3 linked regions of the Bombyx mori genome follow. The protein of the gene in region 2 purifies or fractionates together with the protein of the main gene of each other region. This does not show direct contact. Links are inferred from orthologs where the notes say so. Each region holds a gene or a part of one and is shown on either strand. Other genes may lie near its edges.

Region 1 (6,769 bases), on a different chromosome or scaffold from region 2:
GAAAGCGGGAAACATCAATCTCCATACATTCCTCAGGACACAGCAGAAAGTCTCAATTTTCAATCTTAACACCTCATGACACGCACGGGTAATTATCTAACTTAATTATATAAAAACATTGTTTCATAATGACTTATGGAACTCACCAGCTTCCTGACGCTGGGCGTTTCAAAATTCCAATGATTGAAACAGTGAAGGAACATCTTGGCCAAATCGTACATTGTTTGCCATTCCCTTTGTGGTAATGAATTGAACTTGTAGAGAACGAAGTTTGTTATTGCTTTAGCTATGGAAGGCCTTTCGAATGGAGGTTGTCCCAGTGGTCCCTCGATCCGAGGCTGGGAACGCGTTAAGATGCATTTACGAAGTATCTGAAAAATATTTTAATCTATATATATAAAAATGAATTCCTGTTCGTTAGTCTCGCTAAAACTCAAGAACAGCTGGACCGATTTGGCTAATTTTGGTCTTGTATTATTTGTGGAAGTTCAGAGAAGGTTTAAAAGGTAGATAAATATGAAAATGCACGGAATTAAATAAAAATTACAATTTTGTTTTCCCATTGATGTGTCCCCGGTCGGACGGATTCCTTTTGTTTGTTATAAGTTTATTTTGATACAAAAGTTTAGGTCTTTTATTTATCGATTGAGACGCTACGAAGTCTGCCGGATCAGCTAGTCTTATAATAAAACACCACACAGCTTTTATTTAATTACTGCGCAATTTATAAATAACGTGTAGCGGTTGAAATTGTTTGGCAGACCGAGGGTCCGAATGTTATTGTTCGGAACTTATTCAGGCAATCTTGAAAGTGTCTTTCGAAATTCAGACACTTGTCCAATATCTTCTGTTCTGCATAGTGGCGGTCTACGGTCCAATGTTTTTTTTTTATCATTCTTTATAGGTGCTCCTGTAAGTTGAGCGCATAGCATTTTATGATCTGAATGAAAAGTTCTGTTTAAGTTTACGTCTTGAAGGTTTTTGGGCTTTTTGGCCAAGATAAAGTCAATTTCTTTTTTATATGTTCCATTTGAAGAGATCTGTGCCAGAGATTTTTCATATAGAAGCCATTGAGAATGGTCAATTTATTATCTAAAGCAAAAGTGCCTGTGTGCCTCCATCTTTTACCATGTGCATATTTTCCCATTGCATTATCTTATTTATTAACGTTACACCTTCCTATTTCTGTAAGAAGTACTAAGTCTAAGATTGTTATTCTTTCTAATGTGACTATTATTGCTTCAATTGTGTGCAAGTTTCTTTTTAATTTGAAATCCTACACAATAGTCCTGGTCCCACCTTTGTAATGTTTTTTTTTATTTATTTTTGTCTACCTATGCCATTAGCCTCGAGAGGTTATCTTGAGGACTTTAGTATAGGACCTAAATCTTCTATTCCTTCACTAGAAGATATGCTTTTCAATTCACTGATTCCTTTTCCAACCTACATTATGTCTGCCACGGCTATTTTCGAGTTCATGAAGTTTCTCAATACTTCATAATAATTATATCCGAAATGAATTTGTTAATCTTAGAAGGTCATGGTGTTTTTCCTCTGCGCGGACCAGTCTGCTTGGGGTAGCGAATTTAAAATAACAAACCTTAAATAAATAGTAGTAAACTTGTTTAGTGTTGTGGTCATCTTCTCTTTGCATCGACATAAATATGTTCTCTACGTCTACAACAGCACCGAGCAGCCTATTCACTTCTGCTACAGGCAAACCTTGTAGCTGACTTACATGTTTCTCTGGAAGCAGATACACAAAATATATCTTTGAAAATCCTATCCTACCTAACCTCCTAACCTACCATATTCCATTCATTAATAATGATAGCACATTCTGTAAATGAATGAAACATGAATTTTCTTGAATGAGAAATTTTTATGCTTAGTTTAGTAAATAGTGTTTCGTAGTTGTTTTCGGTATGTTAGAGTAGTTCTTTACTATTCATAAGACATATTGTAAATCAGAACAGCACTTATTCAATAAATTGAAAATAATTAAACGACGTGCTATTGAATAAAACTCTTAAATCATTTTACTACAAATTGTTTTTAAGACAAGTTTCAACCTAACCCTCTAGAAATTAAAGGCATTTATAAACTAGATTCCTCATTCATACCTAATACATGGTTGCAGTTTCTACACACGTCATTGAAGCTGGCAAGGGGCTGATTATCAGCCCGAGGAGTCTTGCCCGCATGCTGTGTTACTGGAGTCTTCCATCCATTGCAGTTACAATCTGGTGTCTACCACAAATATTAAAACTGATAGCTAATGATATATTGTCAGTCAAATTTGAATAAGTCCATAAACTTATAATGTTTGATGGTTAATGGTACTACTAACATCTAAATAGAAAATATTTGAATTGAGTCGTCTATTATCAAAGGCGGCAATCTGTGCATTTGGACAAAAAAATGTTATTGATATGTCAATACAGATTCATTTGAATATAATCGTCTCCTTCAAAGAATACGGTTTAAAACCTGCATTAAATAAAGGTTAATAGTTAACCTGTTATTTATCTAAGATGTCGTTCCGAAGAGTTTTGTGACTGCCAATGGAATACAAAGTCAATAATTCGTTTTTCTGATTTACCAATTATTGTCCAAAAGTCAGATTGCCGGCTTTGATAATAGTCGACTCAATTATAACATATTTTTTAATGTTTCTTTTCATTTTATTATTTCACAGAAGGCAGAATAATTAGAATTTGCGAAAGGATATGAAATCTAGAAATTAGATACTTATATTGTTATACAGTACACTTAACATTATGTTTTTCAAAATCATTTTCATCATTCATTGCTATTTGCTTTTAAGTTATGGGTATAATGTTAAGTTGAGATCAAGAGGAGTTACTTCGTTTTATTAAATAATGTTTTCATGGTTTTTAATTCCTTATCGCTTAAAAGTCATGATAGGACATCATTACATTCAGTGCATTAGTAACATTTTCATTTACAATACCTGACAGGCTGAATATATAGCTAGTTTGAGTAGTTTTTTATTATGGGGCCAGTTGAAAACTTGTTGTTTTCTTTGTTGTATCCTTTGTAGGTTAGACTGCCGGGAAGCCTGTCCTTCACTGCCTGCAGGAGTCCCGGCATTGCTTGATGATGCATCATCTGCACTTAAGCTTGATGTAGCTAGAGGAAAGTTTGTAAATGAACGCTGAGTTATTGCGGTAGTTTAGTAGCAAATTATAATAAATTTATTTGGAATTAAAGGAGAAGTTTGTTTTTCTTGGTGTTGAGATCTCCTGTGGCTATACAAAGCACACTGTGCAAGTTACTGTTCACCTTCAAATATCAGATCAATCAGATTACATTCCAAAATGACTATTTTACCTAGTAAAGCCTTCATAATTGCTTTGACAGATACAAACAAGAATGTAGTGGTAATTTTTACTGATAGCACTTTTTATTTTATTACTTGAACAAATATTCGCCAGCACCTTAATGATTATTAAACCTCTAATGTTGTTGTTGTTGTAAGCCTCTAATGATTATTAAACCTCTAATGTTCATTTTCAAACTTATTGCTTACACAGTTTCATATCCATGTTTGGGAATAGCAGCCTTTGGTCATTTTGTTTCTATATAATATTTTTATATATAATGACAAGAATAATTATGAGGAATGGATTTATCTGTCCCGCCATGTACATGGTGAATATCTGCTAATTCTTCTATGTAGTAATTGCAAGTTGGGCCATCACTTAAAATATGCTTTTCAATACATGGCCTATTAGTCGCCATACTTATATAAAGCTACACCACACCTGGTTTATAGCGGTGAATATTGTAATGAGGGTAGTCTGAGATAAGAAAGTTTATGAGAATATAGATAGACCTGGTTATGTAGTAGTAGCTCAAGAAAGTACGGTTTCCAGCCTTTCTGAAAAATAGCTGATCAGACTATCACTATATAAGATTCTTTTATATGTGTATGTAATAGAGAAATTACAAGTACTAATGGCTTACAACTATCTATAGAATAGCGGGAGAAATTACCACATACAAAACACAGTTGAATTTCGATTTTGTTAAAATTTAGCTCAATAGCTAAATTTACACACATACATTTAAATTTACAGTTACAATTAACTTGGTTCACGTGGTGTTTTCATTTTCAACTACATATATTAAAAAAGCCGATAAGATGTTAAGGTCATTATTCTGGTGATTTCTATACAAAATTATTAATTATAGTTGAAGAAGCGTGATTTTGTTTATTTACCTTCATGTGTATGATTTTGTGAGGAGTCTGGCTCTGTGCTTGTCATTGCTATGTCAGCTATTTCGTCAGTCGCTTGAGACATAATATACAATCACAAACAAATTTTTGTCGCAGTAATTCTTCCCGTAAATAAGAAGTCAACGCTCTCATTTATGTATTCACTGCATTTTGGAAATAGTTACACTGATAACATGAAATAAGGCGCAAACAACAGCAGTCAAACTTTTTATCAGAATTAGACAGTTGACGTTAACACAGATTTCAGATTCAAATGACAAGTATTGTCTCCTTCATAGATATTTTTTTTTTGGTACCATTTTTCCTTGTTAGGAAAGGCAAGGGAATCTAAGCCCATACAGCCTTGTCTGCTCTATATATTCTCTGAAATAAATTTTCAAAAAAGCCGAAGCCAGGTCTTATATGATATATCTTCATAGATAATACACTTGTCTCCTTTTTGCTATAATCTATGGAGGGTAGAGGTAAGGAGAACCGTCTGGACTTTTTGGCGGGAACGCGAGGAGTGAAGTTGTGTGATTTTTTTTATTTTTTTTGTCTATTTAGTGTTTCTTCGGGTTTAAATGTGTAATAATGGTGGTTTATTAACCGTTTAATATCTGTGAAAGTGCACAAATGTGGGAAAATGAAACAAAGCCGCTGGACGTAACTTCTCGGGATCCTCCAAAAAGTCCACTGAAAAAATCTTAGTAAATGACCACCATTTTACTGATATTAGATTTCATCTCATATCATCTTATTTAATTTCATCCCAGTTGATTAAAGTCTGAAATTAATCATTTTTATTTCATTTCACTCCATAATATCATTTTTCATAAAATTAAGAATATACATTAAAATAAGACATGACTTAAAGGTCTCAGTTACCAGGTCATAAAATCTCTTAAAAAAAAAGGAGAACCGTCTCTGGTAGTTTTCCAATAACAGCACAAGAGCGCATTAAGCGGCACAATGCATAAATAAGCTTCAGCATAATTCGGCATTGTGCGTCACTGAGTCGCATTATGCTCTGTAACTGGAAAACTACCTGTATTAGTTTTCCAATTACAGAGCATAATGCGACTCTAATATGCGAATATTATATATAAAACTTGATTACATTCAATTACTTATGATCAATTTATATTTAGTTGGAAAATGATCTGCGACAAATTTTTCCTGTAAGCTATGAGAGAATTAGAAAAAACATCTATTTCATCACTTAAAATTAGTTCAGCGCAATCGGACAACCCCGAATGAACATATGTTGTTGTTCAAAGCAGGCATGTAATTACCAATTATTCTAACAAATTTTGTTACTAAGGAATAAGTGATTAATGGTGGTATGGCTCATCATACGAGACTACTTGTCGAACCGTTCGTTCCGATATCGGGTCGAGGGAACGCACTCTCGCCCCCGTCACGTTACAGCCTACAGCCGGAGTCCCGCAAGGCTCCGCCCTCTCCCCGTTACTGTTTAATTTGTATATCAATGATATACCCCGGTCTCCGAAGACCCATCTGGCACTCTTCGCCGATGACACGGCTATCTACTACTCGTGTGGGCGTGTAGGAAGAAGTCGTTATTGCATCGACGACTCCAGACCGCAGCCACCACCATGGGACAGTGGTTCCGGAAGTAGCGCATCTACACAAACCCCATGAAAAGCACAGCGGTGCTCTTCAAAAGCTCTTCAAAAGGGGTCGCTCTCCGAATAACACCTTGAGCATTCCACTCCAGACTAGGCGCGTTAACACCTCCGCTTCCGCCATTCGCCCAATTATCATGTACGACCAACCCATACCGTGGGCCCCGAAAGCCAAATACTTAGGTGTCACCCTCGACAGAGGGGTGACATTCCGCCCCCACATAAAGACGGTACGCGACCGTGCCGACTTCATACTAGGACGCCTCTACCCGACGATATGCAGGCGAAGTAAATTGTCCCTTAGAAATAAGGTGACACTCTACAAAACTTGCATACGCCCCGTCATTACCTATGCAAGTGTAGTGTTCGCTCACGCGGCCCGCACCAACTTAAAATCATTCTAGGTTATTCAATCCCGTTTTTGCAGGATAGCCGTCGGAGCTCTGTGGTTCGTCAGGAACGTCGACCTCCACGACGACCTGGACTTAGAGTCCATCAGTCATCTGCAGTCGGCGTCGATGCGCCACTTCGATAAAGCGGCACGACACGAGAACCCTCTCATCGTGGCCGCCGGTAACTACGTTCCCGATCCTGCGGAAAGAGTGGAAAGCAGGCAACGTCACCCCAAACACGTCATTTTGGATCCTCCCGATCCACTAAGGGTGCTTTTAGGTACCTCAAGCACCCGTCGAACCCGTCGCTTGCGACGAAGGGCTCGACGAGTAAATTAACCCTCAGACACAGCCCACTGAGTTTCTCGCTGGATCTTTTCAGTGGGTCGCGTTTCCGATCCGGTGGTAGATTCTGCGAAGCACGGCTCTTGCTAGGGTTCGTTTTAGCAACGTCGTCAGGTTTGAGCCCCGTGAGCTCAGGTTAA
Region 2 (6,120 bases):
ATATAGTTGATTAATTTGAATCCGTACACTATAATATATATACACCGTAATAAAGTATATTGGAAGTATTGGAATGGAACGAGATGTTGTCCTACTAAAATTTTGGGAATTTACTAAGACTTCAGAGGGCTTTACGTGTTCCAATTGTAACATAGCCTTCACTGCAATCCAGCACACTTCACACTGTTTAAACGCTATGCTATATTCGTATCATTTCCACTTCTTACACTACCCCTATTACGGTAAGTCTATAAGGGAATGGTAGTAGTACTAGAACTTTGCAATATACTAAATTTTCGTCACACCTTACAGTACTTTTACAGTACATTCTTTCTCCTCTAATATTTTCAATTTTTATTAATCTCATTACCGAAAATCTTCAATGTGCGTACCATCTATATGCCGATGATTTGCAGCTTTATGCTGAGGCTGGAGTCGATAGTGTGTCTTCGGCAGTTGGAAAAATAAATAACGATCTGTCCTACATTAAATCCTGGTCTGACGGTTTCGGCATAAGCGTGTATCTCGCCAAATGTCAGGCTATTATTGTTGGAAGTCAACGCTTGTTATATCGGTTGGATATGGCATATGTCCCATCGGTTATATATGATGGCTCAACCATCAACTGGTGTTCAGTTGTAAAGGACCTAGGCCTACTTATTGACTCCAGTCTGAGTTGGCGAGCCCAGGTTATCTCCGTGTGTCAGCGAGTTACACTTACACTCCGTATGCTTTCATCGTCGCCGCCGATCATTCGTCATCTAATTGATAATGTTTGTTTATATATGTTTTTATATGTATATATTTATGATATGTATATGTATATATTTATGTATATCTATATATTTACGTCTATGTATTTATTTAAGTATGAGTATTTGTATCTATAAATATTATGTATGTTATATATACACATGTTTAAGTAATATCACCTTCACGCTACACCTACCAAGCTTCATCTCTGCACTCCCCTAAGGTAGACTGGTAGAGAATGTCTATGGCATTAAATCCGCCTTTATACTTTCTAGTATAAGAAGTTATAAATAAATAAATATTTGCAGTGTGGTAGTTTAAGGCGGTTCTTAAATTTTTTCGACTAGCTACTATGGCGCTACCTTAATTGGTTCTCTTTTAACGTACACTTTTTTCGGTGATATGGTATTCCTTCATTTTTCTCTTTGAATTAGGTAGGTATATAGGTACTAATCTGACAATCTGTTGACTGACAAATGACAAGTGGCAACATTGACTTTATGTAGGTAAAACTGGACTTTTTGGCGGGAACGCGAGGAGTGAAGTTGTGTGATTTGTTTTATTTTGTCTATTTAGTGTTTCTTCAGGTTTAAATGTGTAATAACGGTGGTTTATTAACTGTTTAATATCTGTGAAAGTGCACAAATGTGGGAAAAAGAAACAAAGCCGCTGGACGTAACTTCTCGGGATCCTCCACAAAGTCCACTGAAAAAATCTTAGTAAATGACCACCATTTTACTGAGATTATATTTCATCCCATATCATCTCATCTCATTTCATTTAATTTCATCCCAGTTGATTAATGTCTCAAATTAATCATTTTCATTTCATTTCACCCCATATTATCATTTTTCATAAAAATATGAATATAAATTAAAATAAGACATGACTTAAAGGTCTTAGTTACCAGGTCGTAAAATCACTTAAAAAAAAAGTAGGTAAAACTTCTGACTTTTTGGCGGGAACGCGAGGAATGAAGTTGTGTGATTTGTTTTATTTTGTCTATTTAGTGTTTCTTCAGGTTTAAATGTGTAATAACGGTGGTTTATTAACTGTTTAATATCTGTGAAAGTGCACAAATGTGGGAAAAAGAAACAAAGCCGCTGGACGTAACTTCTCGGGATCCTCCACAAAGTCCACTGAAAAAATCTTAGTAAATGACCACCATTTTACTGAGATTATATTTCATCCCATATCATCTCATCTCATTTCATTTAATTTCATCCCAGTTGATTAATGTCTCAAATTAATCATATTCATTTCATTTCACTCCATAATATCATTTTTCATAAAAATATGAATATAATTTAAAATCAGAAATGACTTAAAGGTCTTAGTTACCAGGTCATAAAATCCCTTAAAAAAAAGGTAAAGCTTCTGTGTTAAAAACGGTATCAAATAAAAAATAAGTTTTATTTTCTGAACGCCATTTTGTTCTGTGATTTCGGCATTTGTTTTGCTGTACTAGAGAAACTTTAAGAATTACGCTTTTGTCTTAAAAAATCAACACAAGTTGAGTCATAGACGTGATATTAACGTTAAGTACTTTAAAGTCTAACATTTTAAAGTGATTCCAAGATTTCAGTGCAATAAATAATGTAGATTAGCGTAGAATATTGGGCTTGTGTTATTTATTTTGGCGGGTAAATTATATTGAATCGAGATGCTGGGTAAGAGGATGCATCATAATAGCAAAGGCAGACTAGCTAACAAAGACAATGGAAAGCCATCAAGCCCTGGAATTACACCATACACTAAACCAACAAAGATTCCAGGTTCTGTTTCTACTGCCAAAATCAAAGTTGAGACATGCCCAATTCCATACATTAAAATACAAGATAATGCAGTGCTTTTGCCACGATTTACTGCGGTTGCAGCGAGATCTGCTGATGAACCTATTGGGATGGATGAGCTGGATGGGTTACAGTTGGAATTAGAGTCATTGCTATGTAATACTGCCCTACGATGCAGATATTTTCAATCTGAAATAGAAAGCATAGATTCGAATGAATCTAAAAGAGAAAAAAAAGGCAAAGCAGCCGGTAAACAGCTACAGTATCCTGTAAAAAGAAAATTTCAAGATGACAAAGTGGTTAAAACTAAAGACTACACAAAATTATCCAATCAGCCAAAAGTGCCTAAATTTAAAAATTTCTCAAACGCTTCCTCAGGATCTCATACCTACTCTAATGATTTAGTGAATTCAGACAACTCTGTAAAACTTGAACTTTCACAATTAGCACTGCCTAAAAATAATATCCCATATAAATTTTGGAATTCAGTAGAGCCTTATTGTGCTCCTGTAACATTGGATGATATAAAATTTTTAGAGTCCTTATTAGCTCAAAGCAGTAACACCACACTACCTCCGATCCCTCCATTAGGAAAGCATTACTCAGAAGTTTGGGCAGATGAACATCTTGCTGAAGATCAAAATGCATCTAATCCTAATAAGCAAAAATCATCTATGTCTCCAGATGCATCTCATGCTCGTAAGAAGCTAGAAAAGTCATCAGAAAGCATGATAACTGGACCTTTGACACAAAGATTAGTCTCTGCTCTTATGGAAGAGAATGTGATGTCTTATGAAATACCTGATATTAAAGTAAAAATGGTCTCCACCACTAAAAGTGGCTACAAGAATTCATTAACATTAGAAAAGTGTTTGAGGAAGGAATTGGTTGAACAAGGAATACTTGATCCAGAGGATTTACCACCTCTCACTAATCCAGCTGATGATGAAATACTAGCAGAGATTAAAAAATGTCAAACAGAATTAACAGCTGTACGTAAAGAGAATTGTCGAAATCTTAAAAATTTAATTGGTTTGTGTAAACAAGAAATGATTAGACTGAATCTGAAAAAGCAACTGGATCAAGTGGATCTAGAATGTATTGATATTTATAAAAAGATGGTAGCGGCTAAACAAAAGAAGCGCCCTGTTACTAAGAAGGAAAAAGAAGATGCTTGGAAAGCAATAAATGAACAAATAAGGCTAAACAAAGAAATCAATGCTTTGCCACAAACGGGTCCAAATTCAAATTAGATATTAGTGTTCGGCATGATACAAAAATAACATGTGGTAATTATTCTAGGAGTATCTGTTGAATTAAATATGGAAAAATACTTGTTTTATTACTGTGACTACTAACTACTTATTTGGCAAATTTGACCTTGGCCTTGGATTATGGCCTTGACTTTTTAAAGGATAAGATGTTTAGTGCATTTTTATCTAGTGATGCAACAATGTTTGAATCCCGCAGGTGGGTACCAATTATTCTAATGAAATATGTATTTAACAAATGTTCACAATAGACTTCCACCGTGTAGGGACTTCTCATCATGTAAAAAAAATCAAACCTGCAAGTTTATAATTTGCACAATTACTCTGGTGGTAAGATGTCTTGTGAATCTGCACAGAACAGAACTAATGAATGCTAATGCAAATTTTTTATTTACTGCAGATTTTGTATTACCTCATTTTATTTTGTTATATACGAGTCGTCTATTATCAAAGGTGGCAATCTGTGCATTTGGACAAAAAAATGTTATTGGTATGTCAATACAGATTGATTTGAATATAATCGTCTCCTTCAAAGAATACGGTTCAAAACCTGCATTAAATAAAGGTTAATACTTAACCTGTTATTTATCTAAGATGTAGTTAAGAAGAGTTTTGTGACTGCCAATGGAATACAAAGTCAATAATTCGTTTTTCTGATTTACCAATAATTGTCCAAAAGTCACATTGCCGGCTTTGATAATAGTCGACTCATATAAGGTTGGGGAAAAGTTTCTTAACATTTTTTAAGAAAATTCACGACATTTTTAATATAGTTTATTTATATTTAACTAATACCATTTTGTTCAATAACTTTTTGCTATCTTGTAGGTTTTTTGGAGGTTCTGATCAATATACTGCGACAATTGATTTTGGTAGTGCTCTTGTGATGTTAACCTGACACTGCCTAAAAAATTCTAAAGAGACCAAAGCAGGTGGAAATCTGAAGCTGCAAGGTCAGGACTATACGGCGGATGCATTAACACCTCACAGCCAGGCTCTTAATTTTTGCTGATTGGCTAAAGATGTGTGAGGTCTAGCATTATCATGATGAAAAATTACACCTCTTCTCTTGATTAATTCCGGCCGCTTTCTCTCAACTTCTTGCTTTAATCTCATCAGTTGTTCACAGTACAGTTCAGAATCGATGGTCCAGCCTAGTGGTAACAGCTCATAATGAATAATGCCCTTCTAATCCCTCCACACACAGCATCACCTTGTTGCGAGTTAACCCGGGTTTCGCCACAGTCTGTGAAGCCTTACCGGCCTTTGACCACGACCTTTTTCGCACGTTCTTGTCGGACGTGAGCCACTTTTCATCCCAGTTATCAGCTTCTTCAAAAATGGTTCGGTTTCATTACGTCGTAATAAAGAATCACAAATTAGTACACGGTTCATTAGGTTTTTTTCAGTGAGCTCATGAGGTAGGTACCCAAATACCGAGCTTTTTTGTGTACCCAATTTTTTTCAAATGCGCCAAAACTGTTTTGTGGTCAATTCCCCAGTTCTTTAGCTACGTCGTAACTACTGATATGCCGATTTTGCTCCACTAATTCAAAAATGGCATCCATTTTATCCGTAATAGGGCGACCAGAGCGACGTGCATCTTTGACATCAAAATTTCCGGATTGAAAACGCTTAAACCAAATTTGTGCTACTCTCACAGACACTGCACTAGGTCCATAAACATCGCAAATTTTTTTCGCGGCTTGCGTTGCATTTTTACCTTTTTTGTAGTAAAATTTTAAAAGGTATCGAATTTCTTCATTAGATTCACTCATCTTGACCATAGCTTATAATCTAAGCTTACAAGTCTTATGCCGACCACTGACGGCGCGCGCCGTCAAACATTCATTCGCAAACCTAGCGGCTGTGCAAATGGGTTCGCATACTCAATTTGCGAACCCGTTTGCGCTTCCTCCTACACTTGTTTACGAATGTCTCACGAATTTCTCCTTTTTAATTCGTCAATAGAACATTGAAGAGAAAAAGAGTCTTGAATTCTTTCCCAGACATCATTAACAGCCATGCTGTTTTTATGGGATTTCTTTTGATGAAGATACGCTACACAGTACATGTCACGAACTATGAAAATGGCGATAGGCGATACGTCCGTTACCTTCGAAATCGTCGGCGCAACTGGGCAAACGAATGTGTGGGAGACTACGCGAAGGTTCGCGGTTCGCGCGCTTTGATGTCTGTTAAAAAACCGACACAGCTTGGAAAACCACGAATGCAGCGAAAACTTTGCATATTCATTTGCAAATGTCGTCCCACACTTGCGGTTTTGCGTATTCGTGCGCATG
Region 3 (5,655 bases), on a different chromosome or scaffold from region 2:
CAATAAAAAGAAAGCAATATGAACTAGCTAATGTTAAAAAGAGACAAATATAAATTTCTATGTTCATCGGCTAATGGGCACGTCATTTTCTCGAATCTCGACCCGATTATAAATGTCAGTATGTTCTCGTTGTTTCTTTTTTATTTTACCATGTTCTCTGTTACGACTTAATAAATAAAAAATGCAATATTTAATTGTTCATGTTTTCAAAATATTATCTATTTAATGATTATTCTGAAAAGGGGATTATTTATTTTAAAGCGATACTAGTGTTTATTATATCTTTTAGATTGTTTTTTTTATTAGATCTACTGTTAACAAATTCAAAAATTAAGGAAGCTTATCAAAGAAGAACATCATCTATCATAGCGGGTTAATCAAATGATACATTTTGGATTTAGTTACCCAGTTTTCCTAAGTAAACTAAAACACTGTGTTTTATTCGTTGCTGGTAAAGTATGGAGGTTAGAGGTAAGCAGAACCAGCTGTAAGCATCACCCGCTGTTTGCCTTTACCGTCCATACTTTTCGAGAAATGGTTTTCTGTGTATGAAAAAGTGATCGTCGAAAGGCGACCAATTAGGGTAGCGCCATCGTAGGCAGTGGTGTAATTTTAAAGATAGCCCAGAAAGTTTTTCAACTAAGCATACTTCACTCCCTTACAATTTCTACATCATCCATTTGCTACACTAGCCCTGTTTTAATGAGTTTTCTGAATTGCAATTTGCTGCTTACAGCCGGATGCTTCTTCAACTTGTCTCTCATTTTAAGATAGTTCTCCTTACCTATAAGTACACACCTAAGAGTTAAGTATGAAGTCGTAACAGATATTTAGCAGTGATACATAGTAAACGTTGACAAAGACATAAGTACAGATATATGAAAAAGTAGGAATGATCCTTCTTCTCGAAAAAGAGAAAATCGACTGCCCATAAATATATTTTTTCGATATTCGCTTTTTTTTTATTTTCCGTGTAATGTCACCAGCACCGACTTTAAAATACTTTTTTAATATCGATGCTTTGATGTCAAATGGAATGGATCGGATTGAAATGAATTTGTTTATTAACTGATATTGTCATCAATTTGCGTTGTTTCAATAGATTTTTTGGAAGAACCCGAGACGTCACGTTCAGCAACTTTATTTCATTTTCCAATAATAATGGATTTTCACACATGATATGATGATAACCTGTTTGCAAATGCATTTTGATTTGCTAATGTCCTAGATGGATTGGCTATTATAATGATAAAAAGATCGATTTAAACAGAAATCAATCCCTGATCACCATCCCTACTCACCGAGATATGTAGTTATTTTGAATAAAGTTATGTATGTATGACAGGGCAAGAACAAAAAAGGTAAGATCTTTTTGGCGGAACCGCGAGGAGTGAAGTTGTGTGATTTGTTTGTTAGATTTAAATGTGTAATAACGTGGCTTATTAACTGTTTAGTATCTGTGAAAGTGCACAAATGTGGGAAAATGAAACAAAGGCACTGGACGTAACTTCTCGGGATCTTCCAAAAAGTCAATTGAAAAAGTCTTAGTAAATGACCACCATTTTACTGAGATTATATTTTATCCCATATTATCCAACCTCATTTCATTTCATGCCATGTTTCATTAATCAACTTCATTTAATTACACTTCATATTATCATTTTTCATATAAAATGAATTATAAAAGATTAGGCTGTATGGTATGATACCATTGACTTTTCAGTTGAAAAAATAAAACTACTACTATTATGTAGGAACCGTACTTACTTAAATATTGTATTTTCTAAACGTTTGCTGAAATAGTAATCCCTAACATTACATAGTTTAACCGGTTTTACTAAATAGAAAAAAATCACTATCTTCTATTGTAAACCAATAAACAACTGATCTGTGCGTGAAGTTCTATCGAAATGTAGGTGTTTAGTTCTTTTGTTTTTGAATTTTTGAAGTTTGTTCAATAGGTAAGTGATAGTTAGACTATTAGGTTTTGTTTGTAAATAAAATAAAGGTTTTTAAAGTACTACTTTATTTATCTGACAAGTCGAAGAAAGAGCGCGTGCCGGCATCCCTTGTATTCGATGTCGTAGTACTTCTCATAAAAGTCTTGTATAAGTTCTTCAACCTGAAATAATGTCCAGAGATATACTACAAACGAACTGCGATTTGTGTTCAGAAGTCGCACACGAGCCTTTTATCGAATGTTGCGAGTGCGAAAGCAATGTTTGCACTCCTTGTTTTTCATCCGGCAAGGAAACAGAAATGCATAAAAATGACCACAAATACGCGATAAGAAGAAATGATTTTCCATTATTCGGTAATTGCAATTGGTCTGCTAAAGAAGAGTGCAAATTGTTATCAGCACTTTCTACATACGGATTCGGAAATTGGGAAGAAATATCTAAGAATGTGCACACACGTTCTAAACTCGAATGTCAAGAGCATTATAGGAAATATTACATAGAGAATGTGCAGTATAAAGAATTGAGATTACTAAAGGAAACACAACAGTCACTTTTTCCAATGCCAATTACTCCATACTTGTACAATACAGATGTAAGCACTAATCCGCCTAGAAATAACAGTTCAGATCAACATTTAGCTGGTTACAATACATATAGATCTGAATTTGAATTCAGTTATGATCACAATGCTGAAAGCATATTTAATATTGAAGACAGTTACTCTGAAGATGATGATGAGGATGAGGATGAAATGGACATGATGGATTCTTTAAAGGTGTCTTTAGTGAATGCTCTTAATACAAGATTAAGAGAAAGACATAGAAGGTATAAAATTATACAGAATCATGGCTTAGTAATGCCAAATAAGCTTTTCTCATGGATCCAAAAGTTTGACCTCACTATAACACGACAGAAAGCAGAACGATTGCTTTGCTTCATGCAGTTCATGACAGGAATACAGTTTGACGCTTTCATGGAATCCATGAGCTTAGAGAACGAGCTGTTACAGAGAATTGGACATTTATGTGAATACCGTAAGAATGGTATAAAAACTCTTTATACTGCCAAACTTTATAAGCAACTTAAAAAAGAAAATGACATAATCATGAAAGAACAAAAGTATGCTACATGTGTTATGGCCAAGAAATTTGAAAATCAATCACCAGTGAAGACTATGTACACAAAAAACCACCAAGTGCTGCGTTACAAGCGTATGGCAATGCCCTTAGAAATAATTGACTTGCCAGGTTTCCACAGGCTGAGTGAGGCTGAACAAGTACTATGTTCTAATTTGAGGCTTGTACCAACAAACTACTTGGAAATAAAAGAGCATCTTATAGCTCAGAACAGTAAGCTTGGATTCCTACGACTTTTAGATGCAAGGAAAATTGTTAAAATAGATGTAAATAAGACTAGGAAAATTTATGATTATTTGTTATATGAAGGTTTTATAAGTAAACCATTGTGACTATGACAAATTGGTATCATTTAACACCACATATGCTATGCTGAATTGCAGATACACACACTTGTCAACTATTTATCAATCGAAAATTATTATGCAACAAAGTATTGTTAGCCTGTGTGTATTTCTACCACTAATGTGCCTATTTTAGTCTTAAAGTATTCATACTTTCAATATAACTTGAACAGTGTGAGAGCAGTGACATTACAATACTTTGGGATAGGTGAGTTGGGTGTGAGCTCAGAAGCCCAACTGCAGAAATGAAATATTCATAGTTCACGTTGTCTGTTTGTCTGTTCTTTGTGCACAAAATGTTACTTTTGGATTCATTATCAACAAATAATGTGGTAGTGTAAAATGCGATGAAAATAGTTAGATACATAGATACATTGGTAATATGAGGTATGAGGTCAAAATTTTAGTAGCTTTGAAATAGTAGACTAATCTATGCATCAGCATGTTTCTGGCGTGAAGCAGTTTTGTAAAACTCCAGATAAGTTTACATAATAATTACAATACATTGAGTGATATTCATAATGTATCATAATATGCTGATAATACATTGTACCATAATACCAGAGAAATAGGGTTTTCATGATACTCACTTTGAAGCCAAATTTTTGATATAAAAATATAGCTGGATTTGTTGGTGACACATGCAGTGTGATATCTTGGCCCGTGCAAGTCTGTAAGTAAAAAAGGTAATTGTCTACAACACTTAAGCCTGAACCTTATATTAGCAAATAATTTAAGGTAAACATACAATGCAGTTGATACTTTGACCCATAGAGTAAGATTATATATAACCTAACTTTGACCTGAAGTCACCAGTATTCAATGCAGGGTGAACCTTCTTTATTTAAAAAAAATGAACAGTTTTGTGTCCGTTGCCATGCAACCCATATCATGATCCGTTTTACTGATTGAATTAATATTATATTAATACGTTGACCGCCATGTAGGGCACTGATGCCCTACGCGGCGCACTGAGGTAATTATGTCGATCTCTATTACTAAGCGCTGGGATTGCTTAATTTTGCCTTCTTTTGTGTTTAATATAATATGTTTTAGTATTTTAGGTCTCCAGAAATATATTCATTCTCAGTATCTTCGAATTCTTTCCCAGCGACTACGAGATGTTTCAGCGCCTTAGTAAGAAGATAGAAAAGAGAGAAATCGACATAATTACTTGAGTGCGCCACGTAGGGCACCGGTGACCTACATGGCAGTCAACGTATTAAGATCTGGCGATATGTTCTTACTTCGTATGTTCTTCACTGGAGATACAACTTTCTTTTTTAAAGAAAGTTTCTCCACTACGGAGACTGGATTATGTGGTAACCAGATCCATCTTCCTGAAATATCGCAATAAATGTCCGCCTTACTGTTCCTCATGGGCGAGTATACCTGAAGTAGATGGTACAGCATGAATGTAGCTATGCCGGCCCTGCCCCACTCCGGCCTGGTGAGCACGAAGGAGATGTACGCGGTGGAATGTCCCGCGTCCGGCACCAGGAAGGCACAGCCCACGACCAGGCGTCCGTACGTCACTACGCAGCTGAACTCTGGGTACTGCAGGGCCTCAGTTACTGGCGGACATCACAAACATATCTAAGCAAAATTATAATTTCCCTTATTACTTGTGGTAGGAACTCTTGTGAGTCCGCGCGGGTAGTTACCACTACCCTGCTTATAGCTGCCGTTAAGCAGTAATGCGTTTCGGTTGGAAGGGCGGGGGTTCTAACTATATTGAGACCTTAGAACTTATATCTCAAGGTAGGTTGCGGCATTTACGTTGCAGATGTCTATAAAAAGCGTGATCAGACACGGTACCGCGATGTTTTTAGTTTTTGAACCTTGTATGTTTATGTATACGAGTGTTCACAATTGTTAGCCTGATGTAAACCAACTAGCTGTACCCATCCGCTTCGCTGGGCATTTAAAATTAACATCATTATTTCTCACCCCCACAAACATTCTCATCATTGACGCCCCCGCAACTGGTGTAGGGAGTCCAACACTCATATAAATATTAGCCTATCCATTAAGTACATGTATTTTCTACATGGATACCAAGTTTCAAGTCAATCGGATGCATGGTTCAGTAGTTATAACGGAACATCCGTAAAAACCACTGTAGATTTATATATTATCAAATCAAATCAAATCAAAAAAGTTTTATTCAACATAAATGAAAGTGCATACTTGTTGAACGTCAAAACTACCGCC

What was found. Proteins that work in one complex are often made in the same cells at the same time.
Region 1: the proteins of transcriptional adaptor 3 (region 2) and histone acetyltransferase KAT2A purify together in Drosophila melanogaster (affinity purification with western blotting; 3 studies listed by BioGRID, with this or other methods). This does not show direct contact. The link is inferred for Bombyx mori from reciprocal best matches to the Drosophila melanogaster genes Ada3 and Gcn5.
Region 3: the proteins of transcriptional adaptor 3 (region 2) and transcriptional adapter 2A purify together in Drosophila melanogaster (affinity purification with mass spectrometry; 5 studies listed by BioGRID, with this or other methods). This does not show direct contact. The link is inferred for Bombyx mori from reciprocal best matches to the Drosophila melanogaster genes Ada3 and Ada2a.

Annotation. Positions count from the first base shown.
Region 1 is NC_085120.1:4,789,551-4,796,319, forward strand, and holds the start of histone acetyltransferase KAT2A, read right to left. Parts: upstream 4,517-6,769; 5' UTR 4,329-4,516; coding exon 4,247-4,328; intron 3,154-4,246; coding exon 2,975-3,153; intron 2,251-2,974; coding exon 2,124-2,250; intron 1,747-2,123; coding exon 1,601-1,746; intron 372-1,600; coding exon 147-371; intron 1-146.
Region 2 is NC_085109.1:9,154,411-9,160,530, reverse strand, and holds transcriptional adaptor 3, read left to right. Parts: upstream 1-2,183; 5' UTR 2,184-2,416; coding exon 2,417-3,799; 3' UTR 3,800-3,879; downstream 3,880-6,120.
Region 3 is NC_085111.1:1,075,270-1,080,924, forward strand, and holds transcriptional adapter 2A, read left to right. Parts: upstream 1-2,122; 5' UTR 2,123-2,130; coding exon 2,131-3,429; 3' UTR 3,430-3,439; downstream 3,440-5,655. Other genes in the region: cysteine-rich protein 2-binding protein, read right to left, coding at 2,030-2,122, 4,032-4,112, 4,834-5,015. UniProt on the Drosophila melanogaster protein: Component of the histone acetyltransferase (HAT) complex ATAC; predominantly involved in acetylation of histone H4, including at Lys-6 (H4K5ac) and Lys-13 (H4K12ac).